Linked DNA regions of Kluyveromyces lactis. The main gene of each other region encodes a partner of the protein of the gene in region 3 in a complex. Links are inferred from orthologs where the notes say so. Each region holds a gene or a part of one and is shown on either strand. Other genes may lie near its edges. The genes, in order: NIC96, MLP2, NUP1, NUP145, NDC1, GLE1 and NUP82.

Region 1 (4,280 bases), on a different chromosome or scaffold from region 3:
AATAAGGTAGGATTGGACCACGTTGTTTTGGTCAAAGTTGCTACCACTGCTGTGGTTTCCAAGATGTTGGGTCTATCAGAAGCTCAGACCACAGAAGCTTTATCTCATGCTTTTGTAGATGGACAAGCTTTAAGAACTTATAGGCATGCTCCAAATACTGGTTCCAGGAAATCTTGGGCTGCCGGTGACGCAGTGGCAAGAGCTGTCAACATTGCATATTTGGTGAAGAATGGAAGTCCAGGTACAATTCCTTCCGTACTAACCGCTAAGACATGGGGTTTTTATGACGTTCTTTTCAAAGGTAAACCATTCACCTTCCAGCAAAGGGACACTTTCGGTTCTTATGTGATGGAAAACGTTCTTTTCAAGATATCGTTCCCAGCAGAATTCCATGCTCAAACGGCAGTGGAAGCAGCTATTAAGGTGAATAAACAGTTGGCAGAGTTGGGCAAAACTTACAAAGACATTAAAAAGGTCAGAATTAGAACTCAAGAAGCCGCTGTGAGAATTATTGACAAGGAGGGTCCATTGTACAATTATGCTGACAGAGATCATTGTATTCAATACATGACTGCTATTCCATTAATTTACGGTAGACTAACGGCTGACGATTACAGTGATGAAGTAGCAAGCAACCCTGAAATTGACGAATTGAGAGCTAAGATGTATTGTACTAAAGATGACCAATTCACTTTGGATTATCATGATCCATCAAAGAGATCAATCCCAAACGCTTTGTTAGTAGAATTGAATGATGGGACTGTCTTAGATGAAGTGGTCGTAGAATATCCAATCGGTCACAGACTAAGAAGAAAGGAAGGTGTCCCACTATTGATGCAGAAATTCTACCACCATTTGCGTGAACATTTCGCCGGCGATATTGAAAAGGTGGAAGCTTTAATGGAAGCAAGTACAGATGACGGTTTCTTAAACTTAACTGTTGATGAATATGTCAACATGTACTGCGATTAAGCTTTGTCCTTCGCACAGCATCATCAACGTATAACGACCACAATCAATTTTTCATTTCATTCAACTCTTTTTTTGAACTAAACGAAGTAAAACCTACATTTCAATGGTAACCAAAACAACATTTTCTATTCTACAAAAACTGACCACAGGAATCAAAAGATTCTGGCAATCATCAATTCCAGATTACAATATATAATTAACTTATTTTCTCTTGAGTTAATACATACATACTTATGTTTTAATATTAATTACTGTCATGATCAATTTCTGGCTGTCCATTTTTTTGTCCCGTCACATGTTCGGGTAACGGTGCAAAACATTGTAGTTAAAAAAAATTAGACAGAAAACAATAAAAGAAAATGTAAACTATCAATACGTTGAATAGATGATGGAAATAATTCATTGAAGATACTTTGAAAATCAATACACATTGTTGCTATCCATCGCATCAAATTATCTTTAACCCGTTCAGATTTTGGAATTGTAAAATCCACACAATCGTGGAACTATGAATATCAACAGTCAAATCAGCAGTGATACAATGCTATCTGCATTTCAAAACGATGCAAAGACTAGTGGCTCCACGTCTAAGAGCTCATCGAAATTATTCAATGAGCTTTTAGAAACGTCAAAGAACTTACCTTCTACTTCATCTGACCTTGGAGCTATCTTATTGAGTGTCAATGAGATGAAAAAGAGGGCACAGGAGATGCGTAAGACAATTCCTCACGATTCCAATCATACAAAAGCTCATTATCTCTTAGCAGGAAGTGGACTTGAATTTCACGAAATTGAGAGTTCCTTGAAGAATCTTAAGTCATCAGAGTTGTTAACCGAACAACGGGTTGCACAAGGCTATAACGATGGTGATTTGGACACTTATTTACATATTAAGAAGGATGAGAATATCCTTTCCTCCATTGAACAATCATTGTCTTTAGCAGCGAAGGATTTTGATAATTTCATTAATCAGAACTTCAACCTAGATTGGAAGCAAAGGAAAGATGAAGTAAGAGAAAGCTTTGGGATCCTAGTCAAGAAACGTCAGGATAGTTCTAACTACGATACGACTAATTTGGCTCCTTTGGATCCCAACGGTCCAATATTTTGGGGGAAACCACCTGGTAGTGGTATCTTGGATGGTGATTTAAATTCAAATGTCAATGGAAATCACATCCTTAGAGAAAAGTTTGAGAAATATGCCAAAATTATTTACAGGTTTAACAATTCAAGACAATCACATAATGACGATTTTCAATTAACCAAAGAGTTCATTGCCATCTTTCAGAATACGACCGACTCGAAGTATAGACAGCTACTTGACGGTTGGGAGATTATAGATAATGCAACAAATCAATCCCCAAATATTGTTGAGTTTTCCAAAAAATACCTAGAAAACCAGTTCTTGAGCTATGTTGACAATTTGTATTCAAAGAATCCAAGCGAAGGTTTACCGACCAATGTTAACAAAATTAGAGCATTTATTGACCTCAAACTGAAGACTGGTGAAAATACTTGGAAATTTAACAATCTTACGATTGTGAATGGAATTCCCGTATGGGCCTTGATTTTTTATTTGCTAAGGGCTGGTTTACCGCAGGACGCGCTAGAAGTAGTTGTTAACAACAAATTGAGTTTCAAAAAAGTGGAGCAATCTTTCCTAACATACTTCAAAGCTTATGTAACGTCTCCTGATCATCGTCTTCCACAGGAATTTGTCTCAAGGTTGCATACAGAATATAACCAGCATATCAAAAACACTTTGGACAGCGATCCGTTCCGTTTGGCGGTCTACAAAATTATTGGCAGATGTGATTTGACAAGGAAGAATATCTCTTCTATTACTCTAAGCGTGGAAGATTGGTTATGGATTCACTTGATGTTAATCAAAGATGATATGGATATGGATGATCCAGTATATGAAAGGTATACCCTCAGCGATTTCCAACATACTGTTGTCTCTTACGGTGAGTACATGTTTAAAAACTATTATCTACAGGCCCTTTTGTTAAGCGGACAATATGAACTAGCAGTACAGTACTCATACAAAATAAATGAAATCGATGCTGTTCACTTGGCAATTGGTCTAGCGGCAAATGGCATGTTACATGTGTCATCTTATAAAAAGGATGAGTTGATCTCCGTGAATGATGGCCAAACAAGGATAAACTTTGTTAAGGTATTAGGAAATTACACAAAGTCGTTCAAGTACTCTGATCCAAGAATAGCTGTCGAATATCTAATTCTCATCGCACTAGTGAATGAGAAAGAGCAGATTGAATGGGCGTATGAGGCACTCAGGGAATTGATCTTGGAAACTAAAGAGTTCACCATACTTCTCGGAAAGATCAACTCTGAAGGAATTAGGATCCCCGGTGTAGTTGAAGAAAGACGCCCATTATTACAGCTTGAGGACCAGAAGGACTTTTTGTATAAGATTACCGAACAGGCTGCTCGTAGGGCTGATGAAGAAAGAAGAATTCATGATAGTTTGTTGTTGTACCAGTTATCAGAAGAATATGACATTGTTATGTCCATTATCAACAAGTTATTGGGAGAACTTCTAAGTAGCACTGACCTCAATCAATCCCTCTTTAGGTTGAATGACAACAGCGAAACGAATTACGTCTTAATGGCAAAGAAGTTAATCGAAGTGTACATCAACAACATCGAAATCTCTAAAAAGGTTCAGGCAAGAAACAAAGAAACATGTATTGTCTTGTTGAAACTAGCTGATATAAGAGCATCATTCCTAGCACGCCAATGGCAAAACACCCTACAACAGATTGAAGATCTCGATTTAATTCCGTTCACGGATGAAAGCTCGACCAGAAAAAGAGCACAAGAATTTACACATTTGGATGAGAATATATTAAAGAACATACCTAACCTGTTGATAATTACAATGCTATGCATTTCTAACATCATAAAGCAGTTGAACGAAAGTGATTACCAATCTTTGACTAAAAAGCAGCAAATCGATTCTCTCAAACGTGTTGCTAAAAATTGTATGATTTATGCTGGTATGATTCAATACAAAATGCCAAGAGAAACTTACAGCATATTAATCAATATAGAAGTTGGTTTGTAGCAGAGCTCTCATTTATGAGCACCTGAGTTATGTCAGAACCCAGACGTCCTACCATAATAGCATACAATAAAATAACCATGTGTAAGTCGATTGTTATTCGATATAATTGCCTGATAGATTATATATGCATATGTATATATATACATTTGAACTGCCAATTACCTTTTCAGCAGTGCATTGTTGTAGTGAGTAGAAGATGCAACGAAATGTACAAGAA
Region 2 (4,274 bases), on a different chromosome or scaffold from region 3:
ATTGCACGGACTGTTCCGCCAGAGTTTTATGATGCTCTATTTGTGAATATGAATCAGAAAGTTGCAAGTTAACCTTTTCCAATTCCTGTCTCAAAGTCTCAACTAGGTTTTGAGCATCATCGACATTACTTAACATCGTATATGATTGTGCCCGTGCCTCGGCCTCCTTGAGTTTTGCGGATTGTTCATTGATAGTGGATTGCATTTTCTGAAGTTGAGCTTCTTTTTCTTCTAAGGTCGTTTTCTGTTGAGCTGCCTCACTAGTTAACTTATCAATCTTTTCTTGAAACCAATTATATTGATGCTCTTTATTGCTAGCAATTCCTGTGGTGTTTTTTTCAATTTCTTCAAGGCGTTCGAGTGAACCAGACAACTCAATTTCCAATTTTCTAAGCTTTTCCTTATAAGAATTCTGAGTTTCCTTGAGTAACATTTCTCTCTCACGTTGGAGTGTCTGAAGTTGCGCAATTAACACCTTGTATTCGACACTTTCTTTGGAAAATCTTTCGTTCTCTGCCTTCAGTTCCTTTTGAACCTTTGCCATAAACTGTTTTTCAGACTTCAAGATGGATAGTTCCGATTGTATAGATGACAAAGTGGATTTCGTTTTGATTAAGGAATCTACAGTCTCCTGTGTACGTTTGTCCTGTTTTGTTAAAATATCTTGTAGATCAGATGATCTTTTTTGTAGCTCCTCACATTGGCGTTTGGAAAGCTCTAAAGTTGATTGTAATAGATTTAACCTATCTTCTGCAAGAGTACGTGAAGTTTTCTCAGATTCGAAATTAAGTGATATTTCATATAATTTCTTACGCAGGTTGCTGTTTTCTGATGACCATTCCTTGGCATTATTCTCTGCTTCTTGAATGACAGCGGTGAGTCTTGTTTCGAGATCCTTCACTTTATCGTCATTATCAGGAGAAGGGTAAGTAATGGCCTTAGGTGTGTTTGTGCCAGAGCTAGCATTTACTGACAATGCCTTGTATGCGTCCCTCTCCTTTGATAGAATGACTAGTTGGTTTTCAAGGTTCTGTGCATGATCATGAAGTGTAAGAATGGTTTCTTTTGCCTCTCTCACCGTTTCATCCTCTAATACCTGGATTTGAGATTTGTTTTCAGCTTCCCTGCGTTCTAATTCATCAGCAAGATTGCGAATTGTAGAAAGAAGTTCGGAGTTTTTCTGCTGCAACTCAACTACTGATCTAAATTCTACTAGTCGATCGGTTATAATGCCTTGAGTGTCAGAGGTCTTTGTTATTTCTTGAGAGTTGGTTAGATTTTTGACAAATTGCAATTCTTCAGCGGATAATGGTCCGCCATCCTCTGACTTAATAGATTCGTTCACGAGTAAGTACTGTATCTGATGGGCAAGGTCAACACGTTGCTTAGATAGGGAGGCTATTTGAGTCTCATAGCTTTTCACAGTAGCTTTCAAATAATCAAGTTGTGACGACTTTTGATCACGGTCTTTGCCAGTTGACTCTAACAAAATAGTAACCTCATTTAACTCTCTTTCAAGCATTTCACTTCTCTCTTTGAAGGAATTGAGAACAGGGATTTTATGCTCTAATTCAACAACGAATGCTTCCACTTGCATTTTTAACTCGTCTTTTTGTCTTTTCTCAATAACCAGCTGTTTTTTGAGCATTCCCAAATCACCATATAACTTAGGTATGACAGAAACCGATTTTTCTGAAGACGCAGTGGTATTACCAACTTCGGAGTCTTCTAATTTTATGTTGGATGTTAATTCATCGATTGTCTCCTTAAGTTTTATGCAGTTAGATTCAGATGCGTCTAAACGATATTTGACCGCATTGAGCTCTTCAATGAGCTCGTCTCTTTCTTTTTCGGTGAAATATGATGAGTCCATGTTATTCTTTGTAGCATCCATTTCTTTCTTCAATGATTCCATATGTTTCTCTAGAGCATCAATCATTCTCTGCTTTAAAGACATCTCTTTCGTAAGCTCTTGTTTAGAGAAATTGTACTCATCTTTAATTTCTTTGTTCTCGGAAAGTTTTTGCTCCAGTTGTTCATGTAAACTGTGTACCGATTGTTTTAGTTTCTGATTACTGGTTCGAGCTATTTCCAACTCTGATTCCATATTCGATACCTTTAACTGAGAATCTTGTAATTCACTAATTGTGCTTTCTCTAAACTCATTGAGTTGTACGGTCTTGGTATTTAACTGATTGGTCAACCAGTCATTGTTTTCTCTCAATAATGTGATTTCTTGTTCCATCCTTAAAATCTCGCTTTTCGAACGTAGCTCTAAGGCCTGCTGAGTTTGTAGCTCAGTTTCAGTATTGACGACTTTTTGTCTAAGTTCCTTATTCGCTCCCTGTGCTTCATTCAATTTAGCTTTGGTAGAACTGAGTTCTTCAATTTTTTCGTTTAGTGACTCTGCAATATCTTGCTTAGAAGCGTCAGCAAGTTCTTTTTGTTGCCTCTCTACTTCTATTTCTTGTTCCAATTCTATGATTCTTTTGGTCACTTGTGAATTTCCTTCAATTAGACGCCTTTTCTCTTCTTCAAAGTGTAAGCGCTCATCCTTCCCATCTTCCAATGCCTTGGCTAGTTGAGAGATGTGAATTTTGAATGATTCTAGTTTGTTCTCTGATTGAGATTTTAATTGATCCAAGGTAGCAGTTATTCTTAGGTTTTCAGATTTTTGTTTCCGAAGATCTTCCAACTTCTCCTCAATCCTACCTAAAACATCATTATTAATGTCTTGTATCAGTTGCTGGTCGACTTGTAGAAAGTCTGCGACCCTAGAGGCAATGGGTTCTACGGACATTCTCAACTCCACAACACAACAATGGAATAGCAATCTATAAGACGCTACTTTTACCTAGTGTTCAAGCTAATCGCTATGATATTCAATTAGAAGTATACTAAAAATTTCTGCAGGTATACATGAGCATATACAATGCACATAGGCTTTGTTCTTGACAGGTAATTTTTGTTCAATTTCAATATTAGGTCCAATTCGGTGAAATTCAAAATAACGACCAGATACCACGAACTGACTGCAGAACGAAATACAGAAGTCGTATCTAAACTAACAATCAGGGTAACCGGTACCAGTAAAATTCTACGTTCCAAGTTGGGACGGTTTGCAACAACATCCGTGCACTATTCAACAGTGTGTCTGGGTGTATAAATTTCGGGGCTTGACAATTAAAAATGCATATATTCCTCAAAACGGTATTTTTATTTTCTAATTGCAGAAATCACTTCGTTTTTGCTCGTTGTCGATTCCTCAGGTTCACCAACTTTCTATGTACCAAACCCAGATTGAGGAAAGCAAGCAAGAATTCATACTCAAAGTATTTTGGATTATATCATTTAATCATACGCACTTAAGATAGCTGTACTTAGTTGTTGATTACTATCAAAAAGATCAGGAAAGGACAAGATTCAAAAATGCAAATGTATGCACAATATGATAAGCAAAAGGCATCTTATTTTGGGGTTTCTTGGTGATTCAAGACGGTTTATGCTACTTTGAAATGGGACGAAAGCACATTAGCTAAAAAACAACAAGACGAACTCGGATAACAACTAATGAAAATGACAAGGATTTACTGTGTTTGGTGTAACATATATCATGATAGTCGCTATCCTGTGAGAACTTGAGCGTTTCATTTCGGAGAGTGTGAGTACGCGGTCTAAACTGTTGAGTGAGATATATGTCACGATTTCTTCAAACGAAAGCAAGTACGCTTTGCAGAATGAATAAGGATACAAGGAAGCAGTTTAATGGGACCTATCACCTCCTAACTATCAAATGCACAACAATTCATACCTACAGAGGGAATTTTTTTTGGTTTTTTATTAAGCTTTACTAATCTAGCAAAATTAACTTGAACGTTCACTAATTCTAGGAATCGTCCCAATAAGATTGCCTTAAGAACTTTGTTCTGATCGAGTTTCAAACTTTTACTAACAAATCATATCTTTTTGAAAACAGTTTCGTCAAGACCTTGACTGGTAAGACCATCACTTTGGAAGTCGAATCTTCCGACACCATTGACAATGTCAAGTCTAAGATTCAAGACAAGGAAGGTATCCCACCAGACCAACAAAGATTGATCTTTGCTGGTAAGCAATTGGAAGATGGTAGAACCTTGTCTGACTACAACATCCAAAAGGAATCCACTTTGCACTTGGTTTTGAGATTGAGAGGTGGTATCATTGAACCATCTTTAAAGGCTTTGGCTTCTAAGTACAACTGTGAAAAGTCCGTTTGCAGAAAGTGTTACGCTAGA
Region 3 (4,028 bases):
ACGTCAAACGATCAAATAACTTAGTAAAGCACCTAAGGAAACAAAAAACGATACCGAGTTGTTAAAGGTAAAATGCCTTCGTTTGTAATTTTTCAGTTTTCTTCAATTGAACAGTGGATATACGCTATTCTAATATCACATTTTTCTCGAGGCAACCCAGATTCGATCAGGGAATATTGAAAACTACAAAAAAAAAAAAAAAACTATATGATACCATTAGCAGAGCTCAGCCATAAAAATAGCACATTTATGACATTTATGACATTTATCGATCTCCCACTTCATGACTCGTAGTCGAAGGCATCGTGCGATGTTCCACTGCCCATTTTCTTCTAGTGTAATGATTCTTTTCTTTTCGGATTTAGACTTATGTGTTCGTTTCAGTCTTCTGTCCCTTCAAGGTGTTTTTTGGGATTTTCCTTGACCGATATGGCCTCTTCGTTTCGGAATCAAGCGGTCTGTTCTGTGGTGTCGAAGCCTCATAACCACATTCGGTGTTGCACTTTTTACTTGATTTCCTCCATGACGCGTTCTTCAAGGTTTCCCCAAACTAAAAAAAAAAAAACAAGATGGGACGAATGTATGACAGGATGGGGAGAAATCGGTCACGTGATAATCTGAATTTCACAAGAATAGAACACTTGTACTGTTAAGCATGGCATTGATGCACACTACGTTCTATCCTGTGCGTTCTTGCAGTTTAACGTTAAGTTTTTCTTTACTTATATATCAATTTGTTCTTTTCGATCCCTCATGTCACTTTCAGGCCTTATGTATAGAAAAATGAACAAAACTTGAGTTCTATATAAAACTTGAAAGCTAAAATAACGAAAAAGGGTACTTTTGTATTAAGTGGACGGCAAATCTTTAAACTTTCATAATGTAGAATCGTTATAATAAATTTTGGATAATAGTCGAGCCCCATATTGATGTTTTGGAACTAATGCAAATTTATGTCCATCTCCTAGCTAGACTCTCTTATACTGACGCCTTGGTTAGTTTAGGTCAATATGTGTCAAACCGTACAAAGTGATTATAACCCTGTAAGAGGAAAAAAATAACAGCTAGGAATGTTAGGACTTGAAATATCGAATTATCAAATATCGAATAATACCTTTATTAATACGCAAGAAAGTTACAGAAACAGCAGTTTCGAAAGAAATAGGAATCGAAAACTTGAATTGGACTCTGGTTCACTTGCCGCATATCACGGCCACTTTATAGAATAATGTCGGCATCATATCTGGAAAAACCCAAAAGATCGATTTCATCGACTTTGGCATCATTATTTACCAAGCATGACGATACGAATAGCGAAGATCCGAATATAACAAGGTCGCACAATGAAGATATCAGTGATTCAGGATCAGTGGTCATCAAGAGGCAAAAACGTGGCTTCGACGGTTACGAGGAATTGGTTTGGAATAACGAAAAAATCACCGATCACCCGTTAAATCACAATGGCATTGATGATATCAATTATGATGAAAGACCGAATATTTTCTTGTATGAAGGGGATTCTGAACATGGTGTAAGGCCTCCAGTACTAACGATAGAACCGAAACAAAGATTGCGGCTACTAAGGATGCAGCAACTGCGCCGTGCTCGGCAATTCCCACTTTTACAAAGACAATTACAATCAGCAGAGAACGGCCTATATCGCTTAACAGACGGCAAAAATGCTACTATAAAGAATTTACTCGTCAACAAACTACAAAGTGACAAGAAAAATCATAGGGTTTCCGATAACCCAAAGTCCAAGAAGTGGAAAGCTGATTTTCAATACGATTTATCAGAATATGATATCTTGAAAAACGACAAAAAGACGAAACCAGTATCTGCCTCAATGGGGAATTTGGAATCTCCTAAACTACCACATCCATTGCTAAAAAGGAGTACCTCTTCAAAGAAACATGTCAATACTTTTGATCAAACAGGAGTGCCTAGTGGATCTGGCTTAACTGATGTTCAAAGCAGGTTATTACAAGGAAAGACATTGCAAAAAAATCCAAAGATAGCACAAGAAGTAGTTGCACCAACACTATCATTGAAACCTATCGTCAAGGAAAAAATATCAGAAGATAAAGTTTTAAACGCTAACGGCCCAAGTGTTGGATTTGACTTTATGAATAGAGACAGTACTTCTATTTTCCCAGGTAGCACAGATACACCTACCAAACCAACAGTATCCAAAAATATATCTTTTGGAAATACCAAATTGGATTTATTCAACAATGATAAACAGAAATTAACGGCCCCTTCTCAGGATTCTGAAGAGTTACCAAGAAAAAAGAAAGAATTTAGTTCTACTGAGGACACTGTTAAACCATTTCCCTTCACAAGTTCTAAGTCGCTGGAAACATCAACTGAACCATCGAAACCTGCTTTTTCTTTTGATGCGGTAAAAAAAAACAACACAGCTACAGCCAATGGAGGCACAAAAATCTCAGATGGTGCTCCTTCTTTCACCTTTGGTGATTTATCAAAAACCAAGAAAGAGACCAAAAAAGCTGAAACATCCAAAAACCCCTTTGAGAAATCCGCCCCCGAACCTGTTGAAAATCTGGCTAAAGACGGCCTCCCTAAGTTCAGCTTCACTGGTGCGGATACAACTGGGATATCAAATATACCTACATTTAGTTTTGGAAAATCTTCAGAAGGCAAAGAGATAGCTAAACCCGCCCCTTCATTCAGTTTTGGCAGCCAAAAAGATGCAGGCGAACCAACTAATGTCAGTGAAATGTCAAAACCTATGTTTAGCTTCAACAAAGGAAAATCATCTACTCCAGATCTGACCCCATTGAGTACCTCTCAATCAACTAATACACCTAAACCACTATTTCAGTTTGGTTCCAGTGGTAGTACTGAACCTGCCGCAAAGAGACCAGATGGTACAAAAACTGAAGCACCAGTGCTGCCATCATTCAGCTTTGGTGGTAAACCTGTAGGAAATGATTCGTCAAAAAATATTGAGAAGGAAAAAGCTAAACCTTTCAGTTTTGGGCAAGCTTCGAATACATCAGCATTTTCTCTCAACCAACAGCCTTCAGCAGACAACGCGACAGAGAAGCAGGAAGCCAAAAATGCCGTCAGTACTGCTGTAAAACCTGCATTCTCCTTTGGTAGCACCCCAGCAGCCCTACCTTCTGATACAACCCCAAAAGAAGCTGCTGCACCATCATTTTCGTTCGGGACCACAAAGAAACCTGTTCAAGGTGATATGAGTTCGAAACCTGCATTCTCTTTTGGAAGTTCCTCTGCCATCCAGCAGCCCTCAATTGAAAAAGCTTCCAATGCAATTCCTTCGTTTGCAAGTCAGAACACCAGTGGCCAGCCTGTCAGCGGACTCAAATTTGATTTGACAGGGTTTAAAAATAATAATAGACAAACTACTCCGACTCCGTTTTCAGATTCATCAAATGTTGGATCTGCTCGTGGAAGCAACCCTCCTGTCCCATTCTCATTTGATAATGTCGTTCAACCTGGGAATAAGATAAGTGTAACGCAGCCTACTCAAACTACATTTACTTTTGCACAACAAAATCAAAAACCATTTACTTTTACTGGAAGTGGGCCAAGCACTACCAACAGTTCACCTGCATTTGGAACCAGTTCCAATCAGCCTAATGTACCTTTTTCATTCGGCGGAAGCTCAGCTTCTTCCACTCCCCAGGTACCAGCATTGGGTACCGGTTTCGGTAATTCTATGCAGACAAACACATTTAATCCTTCAGCCGCTGCCAATTTTAATTTTGGTGGTCAACCATCTCAAAGTCCTTCTGTAGTATTTGGATCCCAAACCCCGCAACAGAATCCATCGTCCATATTTTCCGCTGGTCAGCAGAATCCAGCGGACATATTCAATGCGCAGGCTTCAACTCCTCAAGGAGGGGCACCATTTCCACCGCAGCGCAAAATTGCTATGCCCGGTAGGAGAAGAAGAAGAGGCTAATAAAGGAAAACAAAGGCTTTGCATCTCAATTGTAACAATTATTGCATGATATCATTCCTTCCGACATCTTTACATT
Region 4 (4,180 bases), on a different chromosome or scaffold from region 3:
AAACAGATAAATGTTTGTTTTTGGAAATTATAGCCGTCTTTGAAGCATTTACAATGTCGTTGACAGAGAGGAAAAGAAGTATTTTCTGAATATCAGAAGCAGTGGATAGCATAGAATCAATCTCAGCCCTTGTTTCATCGACTATCCATCCACAGAGCTTTGCATGCCGTTGTTTTTTAATAAGAACTTTTTCAACTTCTGGGGAATTGACAGCGTATGGAAGGGAAAGAGGATCAAACAAAATGGATGCTAACTTCAATATTTTGTCTTCATTTGGGACATCAGAATATGCAGAAGCAAGATTATCGAACTGTAAGGAACATTTCCCAACAAGAGGATAACCATTTGGTCTGGAGTTGACTATGGATGTGTTCAGATAAGAGGCGAACACATTGTCAAAAGAAGATTTATTTATTGGCAAGTTGGACTGAAACACGATCTGCTTACAGCCTGACAACTGTGATGGATCTTTGAGCAATAATTGCCCGTTAATATTAAACTTCGCAAACCACATATGTGAGTTGATTCTTCTTTCTCTTTTAACAGATTGGTATGTCAATAAATCTTTCTTAAATGAAGGGAACAAGATATCGTCCAAAGAATTACCTTGCGTGTTTTTGAGTAAAAGTGGCTTGGAATACACAGACTGTTTGGAAGTACCTGCTAATTGTAATTGTTGCAACCAGTTCGATGATGTAACAAGTTTAGGTGCAGCCTCGAGGATATTCAAATCATCTTCGTCTAAATCAGAAGGTTCGTAAGGTTTTTCCTTGATAATAAGTGACATGTCTTGGTCAACAGAGTCGGATAGTACTGGAACCAAATCTAGTACTTCTTTCTCCATTGCAAGAGCCTCTGCTGCTGTGAGGTCTGCATTGCTTGGTACCTCCGCTTCAAGGGACGTGCTAGACTTCTTCACACTGTGGCGACGCTTGGGAAAGGCCAGAGGTCTGTCTCTTATTTCCTCGGCGTTTATTCTTTCTGCTTCTTCAGCATCCACCTCCATATCTTCTTCATTGACCATTCCCCAAACACTGAAATGTTTAACTCTAAAAGTCCAAATTCCACCAAATGGGTTATATGAAATGAATTCCATTTCTTTCATATTCCTTAAACGCTTGACAAAATATTGAACTTCAGCAATTTTCGAGTTGTCTTTAATGGGTTCTTTTGTTTTTTTATCGATCGGATAAACATTTTCCAAAGTTATTGTAGCAGGTACATTGACACCATAACCAACATCCGGTTTATTTTCGGTATCAGGATAGACTTCCACGGTTCTATTCTCATTAAAAATTATTGTTCTTCCGAATAGTTCTTCAAAATCATCCATAAATGCAGTTAAGTCAACTTCATAGTCAAAACTGATGGAACCAAAGTTTTTGCGACCAATCACAAAATTGGGCACAACCGTGAGCTGGTTTTCCGTAAGTTGCTCTAATTGTTCGATAGTAGGTGAGCACCAATAGTCAGTTGCTTTATTCGTTATTTTGTGTTCTTCATCCAGACAGACTTCCGAAGTTGGCTCTGTTGGACTAGTTTCTGAAGGATGTGCTGAAAAAAGAAGTTTATCATTCCTTGGTATACTAATCTTATGATCTTTCTCGTCCATATCTTTCATTATGGTAGCGGAAGAGTGACCGTTAAAGAGTTTCATCTTTTTGGCAGCGCTTCTGTCTGTATCAATGGTTAATTTTTTCATGCTTGAAACGTCCTGGTTAAAATAAGAAGCCAGTGAGTTTGTCTTATTGTTAATATTCTTCCCTTTTTCCTTACTCTCATCTCTTGAAAGTGCCGAGAAAGTATCCTGTTGGGCTAAGTTTTTATTTGATGGGGAGAACAAACCATGTGTTGTTTCTCTGCTCTTCAAATTCTTAAGTCTTGAAGTTAGCTTCCCTATCAGTGTTGAATTGCCTGTGGGAGGTAATATATTGTTGCTGATCACTGATGATGCAGTTGAAAATTTTCTATTTTGTTTCGAGTCTGAGACAGGCTTTCTCTCGTTACTCAGGGATGTAGTAATAGATTCTGGCATTGACAGCACAGGATTTGGACTTAATTGCAAACCGTATGGGTTGTTCGTTGGGGGTTGGCCAGGTTGCTGTGGCTGTTGTAGTTGAGAAACATTGAACAAGCCTGTTGAATTTGTAGTTGGTTTGCTGGACGAGAATAAGCTCCCTGAACCTTGTGTTGATGAATTTCCAAACAGTGAAGTCTTTGGGACTGTTGACGCCGTGTTCGTGGTATTATTAGAAAATAGACTATTAGTTTGCGATGGAGTATTTCCGAAAAGTGACCCACCATTGTTTGATTTATTACCAAATAAACCACCACTCTGTTGCGTATTTAATCCGTTTGATTGGAACGTATTGTTTGTTGTCGCACTGGGGTTATTTCCGAATGAGATACCAGTAGCTGTCTGTTGTCCACCAGAATTTCCGAATAGCTTGCCAGCACCATTGTTCTGCTGGGCATTCGACCCTGGGCCAGAAAATAATGATGTGTTGGGCGTTGATGCAGCGGCGTTATTAGGCTGGAATAGAGAATTCGTCTGTGGTGTATTCTGGGAAGCATTGTTGTTTCCAAAAAGATTCAACCCAGGCTTGTTGTTGTTGTTCTGAGCATTGCCAAATCCTGTTGGGTTTCCAGGGCTCGGCGTGGAGAGTGTATTAGCACTAAACAATGTGCCAGTATTGGGTTTTCCATTCAAAACCCCATTGTTCGCTGGTGTAGAAGTTGTAGGTGTTGAGGTGTTCGCGTTGCCGAATAACGAACCAGGCGCTTTGTTATTACCAAACATAATCAACTTGTTGTTGAATTTATGATGATGATGTTTAAACTGTACAGATTCAAAAATGACAGCAGTAACAAAAAACTGAGAAATTTCGTCTGCAGCAATGAACACCAGCTATGGAATTGGTTTTTAGAAGCTCTGCGATCAATGATAGCCAAGTAGTGCACTTGTTAGAGTTCAAAAGGTGTTTTGTTTACACTCATCTTACTGTTTAAATGTTATAGAATAACAATTTTTTGGAATATTGCCATTCGAGAGAAATTTAAAGAAATATCGTACGAAACTATATACTGCGTAATGCCTAAAACTTGCGCTACAAAAGCTCGGATATCCATATCAAAGAGCTATATTACAATTGGAGAGCCATTTAAATACCTTTTCATATTTCTTTATGAGATTAGACGTTAGATTTCTTGCTGTTTTTTCTTCGCCATAGATAATATTAACATTGATGGTCGCATTTTTAGAGTGACATATCAAATCAATAAACCTTTCCATAGGCAAAGAAAGGGCTACTTTGCAATGATATTTATAGTCCAAATGCTGGAATGTGACATATTTGATCTGAGAATTCTGTGATGGGGCATTGACGGTTGCCGGGAATACGAGTTTTAATTTTTTGAATTCTGAAATGACAATTGAAAGATCTATCAGTTGACGTTGCAAACTTGATATGCACTGTAGTCCATTTATGAAGGTTCGCTGGCAAGAGTTGATCCAACAGTTTATAAATTCTCTTTCAAATTGGTCTATTCGTTCTTCTCTAATACTGAATGAAATACATGACGGTTGATCAATTTTTGAAAGATCAGCTGTCACAATAACTTTGTCGTCATGTAATGATACAGATAGGACTGGACCAACTAACTTTCTGAACTTTATACCAGAAATGCTTTGGTAAAGCTGATGGACTAGTTTAAGCTTTGCCACATCATATTCTGTGCAAACTTTGCTTTGTTTCAAGTCCTGTCGAAGTTGAGCAATCTCTTCGTTCACTTTACTCATCTCCAATTTTGCATCTTGTATTTTTTGGGTAAGTTGATCTTTTTTAGTGGTCAGCTGGTTCAAGTCTGACACCTTTAGCATGTTCTCCCTCAAGTCTCCTTTCAATTTGTTCACTTTCAGGAGAGTCGTTATGTTCTCTTTCTTGTTACTAAAAACATCGTTGTGCTGCCGAAGAACATCAAGTTCTTTCATTAACACCTGTTTGATGTCACTAACTCTTATTTTCACGTCATTTATTTCATTCATGTATTTCATGATCTGGGCATTTTCATCCACCAAGATAGCTATATTTTCTTCCAGGACTGTTTTAATTCCTTTCAAATGTTGTGATCTCCACTCAAACCAGACTTTTTCAGATTGTAATCTAGCCATTATGGTTAC
Region 5 (3,696 bases), on a different chromosome or scaffold from region 3:
TCAAACTTCACTTTATCAATCTTAGCCAAGAAATCCTTATCATAAAGACAATTCCCAAGAGCGTTTCCGAACCCTCTTAACGATCTTTTCAACGCATCTGTCACTGCAGATTTCTTGGCACGCTCGAAAGCGCTGGCTTTCCTCCGTTCATTTTCCACGGTTCCATACCCAATATCCTCTCTGAACGTTCCATCGGCTAACGAAACACGAACAATAGCGGTGCATCCAATACTAAATCGACCTTGCCTTTCGTCAAGGAAATCTATAGTGACATTTTTAACCTCCGTAGACCATCCGTCATACCCAAAAATCTGGTTTGCTAGATTGATTGCTTTCCAGCCTTCGATATATGCTACTCTACTGGATCCAAATCCTACTCTCTTTGAAATATATTCTGGTCCTAGCTTCTTATCTAACTTCGTTTGAATGTCATCTTTACCATTCTTGCCACTTCCTGTATCCTCCATATCTAACAAACTGCAAAAAGGAAAATTGATGCGAGTCGCACTAATATACCAATCCACAAAATCTTCTACCAGTTAAAGACACAAGCAAGGTGGTATCCTGTCCAATTCAACAGCGCAAAATCGTTAACTGTTTGACCTAGTTTGTTTAAGTTTTAGTTTATCAATACAGTAAATTTGAAAAAAGTAAACAGAGCAGTAGCTTAAATCACGTAAACTTGAAAAAGATCTGTTTCTATCGGTATTAAAAGACGCGAGAGCCATGTAAATTGAAAGGAGTTTTGAAAGGATGGCAATGAAACTTAACATTATCATTATAGGATTGGCAGTACCTGTGCTGTCATAGAAGTACTTACATTGGTCATGAAAGTGGCGACGCAAATCATTCTAATATTTTCAGTACTCTATGAGTGACCTTGTATATATTTGTATATATCTTTTGGACAAGAATATCAACTTTTAAGCGTTAAAGTTGACACGAGACCATTGTTACAAGAAAGAGAAAGAGAATATGACACATATTTAGTTGATTTACTTATTTACATGTAACAACTGTTTACGATATCATCAGGTTCGCGTTTAGCGTCTATATGTTGAGACTGACCTCACTGACAAGGAGGTGATTGTCTTTAGTTTCGAGTTACCATGCAAATCAACTATGACATTGGCATAAGAGGGTTACCCGAATATCTAATTTTTTTATGACGCCTGATCTCTAGATCACAACCTGTTAAGAACTTAAAATGCTTGAGATGATATACAAATAAATAATATAAGTAACTCGGAAGGTAATTGATTGTCCTAAAGTCCAATTGACCTTTGTCTGTTTTAAGCATCTAAAATTACTCAGCTTATTGCTATACAGGCTGTACTTTTACCTGTGTTCATCTTTGATTGGTTTGTTTTCATTGATGTCTTACGTGCAGAGTTTAGGACCGGTTGCACCGCAACTGCGTGATTCTCGTTTTACTTACCATCGGATATTCAGTGGGGTATGCAAGAGCAGGTTTAATAATTTCGCCAGGGGTTTACTCTTCAAAACAGCGGTACTTGTCGGTTTAATTACAACCATTACGACACAATGGGAGTTGTCGAAATCTCAGAAATTACTGTTATGGCCAGTAAAAATATTATCTTTCTATGTTGCAATGTTGATGCTAATTATTACCAGGAAAAACTATCTTCATGTCAATTACCTTGGATATACGAGCTGGATAAGCGCATCATATGGCCAATTAGTCTCCCGTAAATGGATCACGTACCTTTTAGTTTACGTTGTGAGCGCATTCTTCCTTTCTTTGACATTTTCCTGTTGCTTTTTCACTCCAGGTACTGGTTCAAGAAAGCATTCACAGCATTACGAATTTTGTTGTCAGTTTATGGTACCTTTTTTGTATTCCATCCAACATGTACTTTTAGATCTTGACAGACTTACTTTCAACTACGGTGCTCAACATCAACATCCTCAGAAGTTTATGGCTTCAAGAATCCATGATTCATTTTTGAAGTGTCTTGTGTTAACTGCAATACTCTTTCTAATTACTCCAATTCTATTAAAGCTTTTATTCGGACATCTAGGCTCTGGTATATGGTCCCATATTAGGATTTGTTGTATATGCTTGTTAATCTTGCAAACATGGGACTTTACAAACATTGGCTTCGACGCCTTTCTATCAATTGGTTGCTTGCATAAAGGTAAACCAATCTCTTCGTTATCTCCAGCTTCAATGGAGACATTGATCACTGGGTTGAGATCAGAAAAATTATTTGTTAAACTTACTGCATTCCAAGAGCTGGCCTACAGAGCCACTTGTGCAAATGTGGAGTTGAGGCTCCCAATTTACCACAATACCTATAGAAATAGCTTGATCTGGCCCGGTATACTTAGAGAATGTATGATTGTTATTCAAGAAACCAACTATAACGTATCCGATTTCTTGCTTACATTGAAGAAAGAGATTGATCCCCAGCCTACAAAACCATCTTTCCCTATCAATAGATCGGTAGATCATTTATTCGGTACCAACCATACTGTCAGAAAACAAAATAATGATGAGGATTCCAGATTACCTGGTGCTCCTCCTACTGAACAAATAAATTCGGATCTACCATCAATGGCTTCACATAGAATCGTTTTAGAGGACAGCAATGTTTTCAAAAACAACGATACCCAAAGAAGTCCGAATCCTCCGAGATTTATCGACTCATACAAACAAGCAATTTTTACCAGACAACCTACAGTACTTTCTGTTTTGACTGATCTTTGGAATTGGATACAGAGAAGAATCAGTCAGTACTTTTTCACCATCGATTCAACTGATAACACGAACAAGAAGCTCTCATTGTTTGAACTTTACCATATATCAAAAGTAAGGGAAGCTGAGAAGTTGTGTCCTGTGCCAGTATGCTATGCCGAGTGTGTGTATTCGATGATGGGTTTTATAGTAAATTCTGTGGATGAAGATCCCAAAGGAGCTGTCGTATCTTCAGTCGGCGAAGTATTAAAAATTTTGGAAAGATCTATTGGCTCTTTAGGTTCGTTTACTGAATTAATATTGGATGGAAAACAAGAAAAGGATTTGAATGATGTCATAAGTGTGTTGTATGACTTATGTATCAATGCATTTTTGGAAATAGTTTTGAAGTATGACACTCTCCTTAACGATGTTTATTTGGACGAAGATGTCGTGAAGTTAACACAGTGGTTGCAAAAAATGTCACAAGATATTTAAACATAGCTTGGCATCAATTGGATTATTCCCAACAGAAGCATGTTACTCTAATAATATTCAAAAGTTATATTGCTTTCATTATAAAAGAGAAGAAATCTACCCCAAACTTCTGGTATGTTATAGGAAGATGTTACATGTACTGAACAAGCGAGCGGAGAATACTTGCTTCTTATTCCAGAAGTCGGAATTATTCATGAAATGTTTTTATTTTCCATTAACCTTCACTAGATCATAATGACCATTGAGGTTAGTATTTGAGTTACAGCAGAACTTTTGTTATAACAAACTTATTTTAGCATTACGTATGAATAAAATACAAACCAAAGCATACAAACGTTATCTTCATTTTTACAAAAAGGTCATTACGTATTTAAAAAGACTTTTTCCATCGGTTTATCAATTCATCGATCCGCACTAGCTTTTCGTGCACAATTAACGTTTCTCGCCAACCGTAAGTCTTATAAATTTAATAGCAACGTCTGTAGTATCTGCTCAAGAAG
Region 6 (3,450 bases), about 180 kb from region 3:
GAGCATTAATTGATCTTTTCCGAACCGTTGAAAGGAAAACCGAATCCACTGACCAAAGTTCTAGCCTGTACGTCAGTTTGGGCAGTTGTGTTGATGTTGATGTGCATACCAAAAGTTACTGGCCAAAGATCTTGATTAGCATCAATCTCTGGGAAAAATCTGACTTCATCGCTGGTCATACCAAATGATAACCCACCAAATCTGTTACCTGACTTGTTGGAGATACCTTTGTATTCTCTGATTCTTGGTAGTACAATTTCAGTCAAAGTGGATAAGAACTGAGACATTGGACGACCTTTCAATGTAATGACAGCACCCATTTGGGTACCTCTTCTGACCTTCCAGGCCGGAACATCATTCCTAGAGAACAAAGCCTTTGGTTTACACCCGGTAATTTGTTGCAATTGTAATGCTGCTGAAATTGGTAGATATTGGTTCTCTTTTGCATCTCTGACGTAACAGTTAATAACAACGGACTCGATGTCTGGAATGTTCTTCCACGTTACTGGATGAATATCTGGCAATTGAGCACTTGAGCCCTTAGGTTTTCTGGGTTCTCTGTTAATGTGATATGGAGAAGAACCGTCCCATTCTCTTTGCTTCAACCCGAGCTTCGTTTGGCTTTTGTGGGAATAATTTATCAATAATAAATCGCTTTGTAAAGTATTATAATAATGCTCACGAACACGGTCTTGATGTGTAACAACAGGCTTGAATGCTGGAGATCTAATATCGTTTTTACTATATTTCAATTCAGGAAACCTTGGGGATAGCTTGCTCTTGTCGATCTTAACCAAATGATGCACTGGCTTAACCAAAGCACAAGCAGCTTTGGAGACCTTTGAACTACTGTGGAAACCACGTACCACTTGCATTATCACTTGGTATCTTCTCACAGATGCGAACGAATGAATGTATAAACCTACGAATGGGAAGGAATACTGCTTTAAATCGAGTGAAACTGATCAAATCTCTATCATTATCTTACAGCTTTAGCTCGAAAGGTCGAAAAATTTTTAAAACTTTCAAGTACAGAGAATTCAATATACGTCACGTGACAAGAATCAACAAAAAGTGAAATTTGATTAAAAACCAGGTAGAGCTCAGTTGATGATTATAGAGAGTGTTGACCTTTCAGCCCTTGTGTTGATGCATTGCAGCCGTTTTTTTTTGATCCCGTACTTAAAGACACGTAGCTGGATTCTCCATTTAGGTAATAACAGTCGAACTTAACCCCGAATCGTTTACTTGAATTGAGCTTTTTACCGATTTGATAAAGTAAAGAAAGCGATTGACACATATCAGGACAATTGAGATGAGGTTCTCATTTGACGAATTGTACGAGAATGCTGAACGGAAACAGAGTCAGAATACCAGCAGCAGTGATTCTGACTATGAATTAGACGGGGAGTTTACGTATATTGGCGATCCATCTGATGGGATCCAGTTAAAACTACCGAAATTATACCATTCTTCAAAGAATGACGGCCAAGGTGAAGAGCAAGGGTTTAGTTCAGGAGATACAATTTCTTTAGAGGATGTGGTAGAACCAGAAATAGTTTCAATGCTTTCCAACTTAAATATCACTCTTGAAAGGAATGCACTACCGCATCTTACAACGAGAGGTCACGAGAATAAAGCTTTAGGCCCTGTTCTTATTGACGAAGCAGAACTTTATTACCAAGAGAAGAAGGATTTGATTGACGAGGTGGAACAACACACCTTTCCTATGCAAGACCAGGTGCTTGAATCTGTGTGGAATGAGGAAATTGATTCAATTGAAAAGGTGAATCAACGTTTAATTAAAAGCATAAAGGATAAAAAGAAGAGGGAAGAGGAAGCACGTATCCAGAAAGAATGCGAAGCGGAGAAGCGCAGACAAGAAGAATTGAAGCATAAAAAGGAGATGGAAAAGAAGTTGAAGGAGGAAGAGAAACGGAAGATTCAAGAAATGGCAGAAAAGGAGAAGAAAGCTGAAGAAGCGAAGAGAGTAGAAGCCCTGAAAAAGAAGCAAGAACAAGAACAACTGGAGAGGAATAAACTTAAACAGTCCAAAGAATCTACAAATTTCAAGTTAATCGAAGAAACTTTTACTAAATACAAAACCATGATTCAGACAATTAAAACAGAAATAATTGAACCGGTGAAGGCGGATCCCACCTTGAAGAAAACTTTAGCACAACATAAGAGGAAAATTAATCCAAAATTCGGACAATTAACCAACAGTACTGCACAATTGAATGCAATCACCAATGAACTTACCGAACTGGTACTTCAAACGAAGGCTAACCAATTAGCCTATAAATGGATTCTAAACTTTATAGCTAAGGCGATTGTTTCCCAAGCAGAATCTGAGGCCAGAGTGAAACCTGAAAGCGCTTTGCCTTTAGGAACACTTGCGCTAAGTCTTCTTGCATCATACCCGGAACTCAAAGAGTTCTTACTGGCGAGACTCATCAAGAAATGTCCGTTTGTTATCGGTTACACGTGCAGCATAGACACAGTCGAAGGAAGAACCAGAATGGGATGGAAACGTCAAAGTGACAACAGATGGGAAGAAGATATTTCATATGATGAAAGGATGGGTGGTATGATTACCTTGTTTGCTGTCATCACAAGATTACCTCTACCGCAAACGTACATTCAGAAACTTGTGCATCCTTTCCCAATCTCTTGGTCATGGAGAATGCTAGCTAGAATCGGCAACACTCCAAAGGATCTACTTACAAATACACACTTCGTCGTTCTTGCCTACTGGTGGGAGGCTGCGGCAGCACAATTGCTCCAAGCATACAACGTTCAGGCAACAAAACTACTTGAAGTTATTTCGATTGATTTAACTGCACTTGTTGCTGACAAAAAATTCGTTGGTGCAGCAAGACTCCGCATTATTAACGAGGAATGGCATAATACAAATCAAATATCATCATTCCCAGATATGGCAGCATAACGGCTAGAGTTTTCTCTAGTAAAATATATATATATATATATATGTATGTATACCTTCAGATCTTCGTTTTCATCATGTGTTCAGGGCATAGTATATGCCTTATGTTCTCATAAAACTTTAATAATGAGGATTCAAATATTTCCAGAGAGAGAGCGTACCTCATTGCCTAGAAATACTCCGCAACTGTTGAACAAACCATGAACCCATTTTCACGTGCCCATTTACCCTTTTCTTTCTTATTCTTACTTGCAACAGTCTTTATACTCAAAGAGTTCGAACCTTTAAAAACGTAGTTTGAATCTTGTGAATACTTCCATGTGGTTATCATACAAACGAATAACGATCGGATCATCAAAAACTCGCAGTAAGACCTAGAGCAATGACAAGGCATTGTGACGTTTCGATACCGGATTCACCTGAACCTCCTTTTCCAATTACCACATCGTTCGTCGATGTAATAGCTGGTTTCGGTCGTGGATCAGCAGAGTTAGGAATTCCTA
Region 7 (4,028 bases), on a different chromosome or scaffold from region 3:
CTAAGACCAGCCTTTGTCAGGTTGAATCAAATTAGAACATTTCAAGAAAGAAGAGCAGGTCCACCACCATTACCAAAGGAAGACCAGGAAGAGTTTGAAAGGCTGCAGAAGCTAGCGTCTTCTCAAGAAGCTATTGATTCTTATAATGCACAGTTTGAATCGGATCATACTATGGAATCGGTGAAATCGCCAATCTTGAAGAACGATATTGGTGGGTTTTCTCCAGAATTTATGAAGACTATACCAGAGTTCGAAGGCGAAAAGAATCCTAAAACAGGAGAAATTGGTGGACCAAAGCAGGATCCATTAAGGCATGGTGATTATTCTTTCAACGGAAGAGTCACCGATTTTTGAGCGCCATTCACACGTTAAAACAAAATTCGGTTAGTAGCATATTCACATAATGAAATGATATAAAAAGTAGCACATAATATAGTAAGGTATATGCCAGTTTTAAAACTAAAAACGAAAAAAAAAAGATATGTAGATGGTGATTGCTATTATACCGCTAGATCTTCAATGGATGCGCTTAACTCATTCATACAAGAATTGATGACCTTTTTGTCGTTCAGTAACATTTGTTGTAGGGAACTAAATTCTAGCTCGGAAAAGAAATCGTCTCCTTTAGTAGTTGATCTAAGCTGTGTGTCCAAAAACTCTAGTTCTTCGCGAAGTTTGTTTGTCAGATGTACATAGTTATTGAACTTTAATACCTGGTTTTTGATACTTTTGAACCACACTAGTTCGGCCTCGCTGATACTGCTTGTTCTTAATTTCTCGTTATTTTCTATACTGGAGAATGTCTCTTTTAACTTGTCAAGTCGTTTTTCCAACGTCTTGGACTTTTCCTCATACCTGGAATATCTTTCTTGGAGGTCTCCCAAGTTTCCGTTAAGTTTATTTCTCAACATTTCGATCTCGTTGGTTTTTCTTAATTGGCGATGGAGTTCAGCCACTTCTTCGTTGGATTTGTTGAACATTCTAAATAAAATCATCTGTCCCAACTTGACGCGCTTCATGGTTTCCTTGTAAAGTTCAGAAACCACTTCCAATTGACGTTCATTGGAATTGTTCTTCAAAGGGAGAGGAGCCAAAGAGTCCGGTATGCCTGAAATGAATCCATTGGCTTCTGTTTTATACTTCGTCAAAAGCATATCCAATTCCTTTCCAGACGTTGGCAACGATGGTTTATATGTATATTTCACTTCATCGGTTCTGTTTATGGGTTTCTGTGTGGTGCTCTTGTCGTTACTCTCGATGACCTTGAAGGAATTGCCGTTGTAAAGAATATCACCAGACAAGGTAGATAAAACACCGAGGAAAGTTCCTGAAACTGTTCTTATTTTATTTTCAAACTTAACATCATCAATGATAGAGAAGTCATGAAGCCTTATGCACTGTGCCAATGGTTCCAACCATGGCATTTCCATGATAGTCGTGGAGCTATCACCAGTAAATACTAATTTAGGTTCCGAGGAGTTTAGTAGTTGGCATTGACCTTTTGCATTGAACATTGTTATTACACTAAGGTTATTGAATGTAGTATTGGAGCGTAAACTCCAACTCATGACAATTTCAGAATCGGAGAACAACACAACGTTTGTTCCATCTATAAATTGAAGATTCAAAAGGCCCAAACGTTCTCCAACCGGTATGATTGTCAAGCCTGTGACCTCTTTCGCATTCAAAGCTGTCGGAAATTTTTTTATAATGAACGGGCCCTGTGGTACAGAGTTCCTGATTGCTTTGCTCGTGAATGTGTCTATACCATCATTTTTTTTATAGTTGTCGAAAAATTGAATTTGTTTCAATAGATCATGCTTTAAGGTGAGGTAATCGGATTCCACATCAGGATCTGAACCTGATATCAGCTTTAGCTGTTTATCGAGGCTATTGTATAAAGACAATGATTTGTGCAACATGTAATCCGCTAAAGAACCATTTTTCGTCCTTGATGTGACATTTGATGTATCATTACTGCGTAGGGAAAAATTCTTTGGTAGACACGGATGGATAGCATATATGTCACAGTAATTGAAGGAGCTCAGCAGATAAAGTGTCAAACCGGTTGGATCAAATGCAATGTCACAAACTGATTCCACATGGTCTGATAACCCAAATGATCTCGATTTACGATTGAAAACAGTGATAGATTCGGGTTCTAGGTCTTCAAGATCATAAATTCGAATTGTACTATCATCATGCAAAATAACGAAAGATAACCCATAAGTAGCCAGAGGATGCCATAATAGTTTTTTTATCCCTAGACTGGTATTGAAATGCTTTCTTAATCTAGATTGCTCATTCACTTCCATGACATAGAGCTCGCTGTTCGCATGAAATGCTACAAGGCCCCCCGACGGACTGATGACCATTTGTTCTGGAACGAATGGAAGCTCCACATTATAACTCCTGTATTGCGTTTCGTGGTCTGATTGCACTCTTAAGATGTTGTCCTGCCATAAATAAATAGTGTTGGAATTGTTGCAGACAAGACGGTCGGAAGGGTTCAGAGACACTTCCTGGAAGATTGCCTTCAAATCTTCTGTATTGAAGAGTAACATCCCACTATATTGGTTCAATATCCGGCAGTTAAAGTTATGGAAGAGAAGGTACCACAGTTAGATCGCCAGTTGATCTGTGTTACGTGTATTTCAAGAAGCGTGAGAGTAGTTCATCGTCGATATATTTTGAATATTTTGAACTTTAATAGTAAAAAAAAAAAAATACCTATAGCAGATCCAGTATTGCAGAAAAGGAAGTGTACGAAAGATATCAAAAAGTTATGTTAGATATGTGTCTTTATGTCATTTTTATATGTATATATATTTACAGGCGTGAATCATACTGTGGGTCCGTTAAATCTTTGCTAAGAAGTTATTTTGTTTGATGTTGGCACGGTTGGCTATCCTTAATTGTTTTTTTCTTAGCTTGATTGGATCAGCTGCTAGTTTTTCAGCTTGGACGTTGGCATCAAGCACTGTCCAGAGCCATTCAGGGTATTCGCTGTCTTCTAATGCCACGGGTTCCTTACCGGATTTCTTGATTTGTAAGTTCAATGGAGTGCCAGCTGGACATGATGACACGATCTTGGCAGCTTGGCCAGATGCCTCGCTTTTCACTTGGTTAAATAGCACGCGAGTCACTCTCAACATTTCTCTCTTTATATAATATGAAAAATAACCGATTTGTTATGGTGGGTATGTGGTTGCCGATACCAATTCGAACCTCAACAATAAGTTTTGGCAAGTTTGTCCTGCCTTGCGGCTATCAAAGTTCATGATCATTTACAGTCCAATTTGAATTTCTATGGTACAAAATGTTGATTTTATCGAAATTTTTCATTCAAAAACTAAGAATTCACAAAACGCCAAGCAGGGTAATGGCGAAATCCATGACGACATTATAGAGGGACCAGGCCGCGTAGTAGCATAGTTTCGGGCTAAACACGGACCAAATGAATAGGTGGTACCTTAGTGCAATGCACGCTATCATTAGACATGTTCCGGTGATATAGTAATGCTGCAAGCGTAGTGTCTTCTGTTTGTAGCTTTGAGGAATTAGTGAGAGAGCCCAGTAGATGGATGGTGCGTAGTTAGACAAGAACATTAATACACCAACAACGTATATGTTATAGTTGCTACTAACACCATTGTATGCATTAGTTAGATTGACAGTTGCAATGGAGTTCGTACCACCAAATTGGAAAAAAGTGAGGTTTTGTAGACATAATGAGAAAATTGGTGTGATGTCCGGTGTGACGCTAGTCAGTATTTCAAATATTAGAAACAATGGGATATTTGCAGATGAAGTTTGGAGCAACAAGACGAATTTTATAACACTCAGTAGTTTGTTTAACATATTGGTGCTTTTATTCAAGGCGTATTTCATGAAAAGAAGGATTATAATAGATACACCACATATTTGGAAGAAAATCCGAGCGATAGGCACTAAACATTGTGAAATATCTGATTCTGTAGCATTTTCATTAGCTAGATACATGGCGCATGATCTAAGTGCGAATGTGT

The links.
Region 1: NUP1 (region 3) and NIC96 share a complex: the UniProt entries of both Saccharomyces cerevisiae proteins name them as parts of the nuclear pore complex. The link is inferred for Kluyveromyces lactis from reciprocal best matches to the Saccharomyces cerevisiae genes NUP1 and NIC96.
Region 2: NUP1 (region 3) and MLP2 share a complex: the UniProt entries of both Saccharomyces cerevisiae proteins name them as parts of the nuclear pore complex. The link is inferred for Kluyveromyces lactis from reciprocal best matches to the Saccharomyces cerevisiae genes NUP1 and MLP1.
Region 4: NUP1 (region 3) and NUP145 share a complex: the UniProt entries of both Saccharomyces cerevisiae proteins name them as parts of the nuclear pore complex. The link is inferred for Kluyveromyces lactis from reciprocal best matches to the Saccharomyces cerevisiae genes NUP1 and NUP145.
Region 5: NUP1 (region 3) and NDC1 share a complex: the UniProt entries of both Saccharomyces cerevisiae proteins name them as parts of the nuclear pore complex. The link is inferred for Kluyveromyces lactis from reciprocal best matches to the Saccharomyces cerevisiae genes NUP1 and NDC1.
Region 6: NUP1 (region 3) and GLE1 share a complex: the UniProt entries of both Saccharomyces cerevisiae proteins name them as parts of the nuclear pore complex. The link is inferred for Kluyveromyces lactis from reciprocal best matches to the Saccharomyces cerevisiae genes NUP1 and GLE1.
Region 7: NUP1 (region 3) and NUP82 share a complex: the UniProt entries of both Saccharomyces cerevisiae proteins name them as parts of the nuclear pore complex. The link is inferred for Kluyveromyces lactis from reciprocal best matches to the Saccharomyces cerevisiae genes NUP1 and NUP82.

The regions. Positions count from the first base shown.
Region 1 is NC_006041.1:1,253,996-1,258,275, reverse strand, and holds NIC96 (linker nucleoporin NIC96), read left to right. Parts: upstream 1-1,480; coding exon 1,481-4,063; downstream 4,064-4,280. Other genes in the region: PDH1 (putative 2-methylcitrate dehydratase), read left to right, coding at 1-972. UniProt on the Saccharomyces cerevisiae protein: Functions as a component of the nuclear pore complex (NPC).
Region 2 is NC_006037.1:55,751-60,024, forward strand, and holds the start of MLP2 (Mlp2p), read right to left. Parts: upstream 2,801-4,274; coding exon 1-2,800. Other genes in the region: RPL40A (ubiquitin-60S ribosomal protein L40 fusion protein), read left to right, coding at 3,430-3,437, 3,977-4,274. UniProt on the Saccharomyces cerevisiae protein: Together with the closely related MLP2, involved in the structural and functional organization of perinuclear chromatin. Together with MLP2, associates with the nuclear pore complex and form filamentous structures along the nuclear periphery.
Region 3 is NC_006039.1:1,148,483-1,152,510, forward strand, and holds NUP1 (FG-nucleoporin NUP1), read left to right. Parts: upstream 1-1,228; coding exon 1,229-3,952; downstream 3,953-4,028. UniProt on the Saccharomyces cerevisiae protein: Functions as a component of the nuclear pore complex (NPC).
Region 4 is NC_006041.1:1,686,167-1,690,346, reverse strand, and holds the start of NUP145 (nucleocytoplasmic transporter NUP145), read right to left. Parts: upstream 2,801-4,180; coding exon 1-2,800. Other genes in the region: kinetochore-microtubule binding complex subunit SPC105, read right to left, coding at 3,131-4,180. UniProt on the Saccharomyces cerevisiae protein: Functions as a component of the nuclear pore complex (NPC).
Region 5 is NC_006038.1:139,184-142,879, reverse strand, and holds NDC1 (Ndc1p), read left to right. Parts: upstream 1-1,375; coding exon 1,376-3,196; downstream 3,197-3,696. Other genes in the region: recombinase RAD52, read right to left, coding at 1-467. UniProt on the Saccharomyces cerevisiae protein: Functions as a component of the nuclear pore complex (NPC) and the spindle pole body (SPB), probably by playing a key role in de novo assembly and insertion of both structures in the nuclear envelope.
Region 6 is NC_006039.1:1,325,351-1,328,800, reverse strand, and holds GLE1 (nucleoporin GLE1), read left to right. Parts: upstream 1-1,315; coding exon 1,316-2,950; downstream 2,951-3,450. Other genes in the region: MRPL7 (mitochondrial 54S ribosomal protein uL5m), read right to left, coding at 6-875; FMN1 (riboflavin kinase), read left to right, coding at 3,330-3,450. UniProt on the Saccharomyces cerevisiae protein: Functions as a component of the nuclear pore complex (NPC).
Region 7 is NC_006042.1:156,109-160,136, forward strand, and holds NUP82 (linker nucleoporin NUP82), read right to left. Parts: upstream 2,565-4,028; coding exon 501-2,564; downstream 1-500. Other genes in the region: SDH8 (Sdh8p), read left to right, coding at 1-354; MRPL37 (mitochondrial 54S ribosomal protein mL54), read right to left, coding at 2,859-3,155; mannose-ethanolamine phosphotransferase LAS21, read right to left, coding at 3,361-4,028. UniProt on the Saccharomyces cerevisiae protein: Functions as a component of the nuclear pore complex (NPC).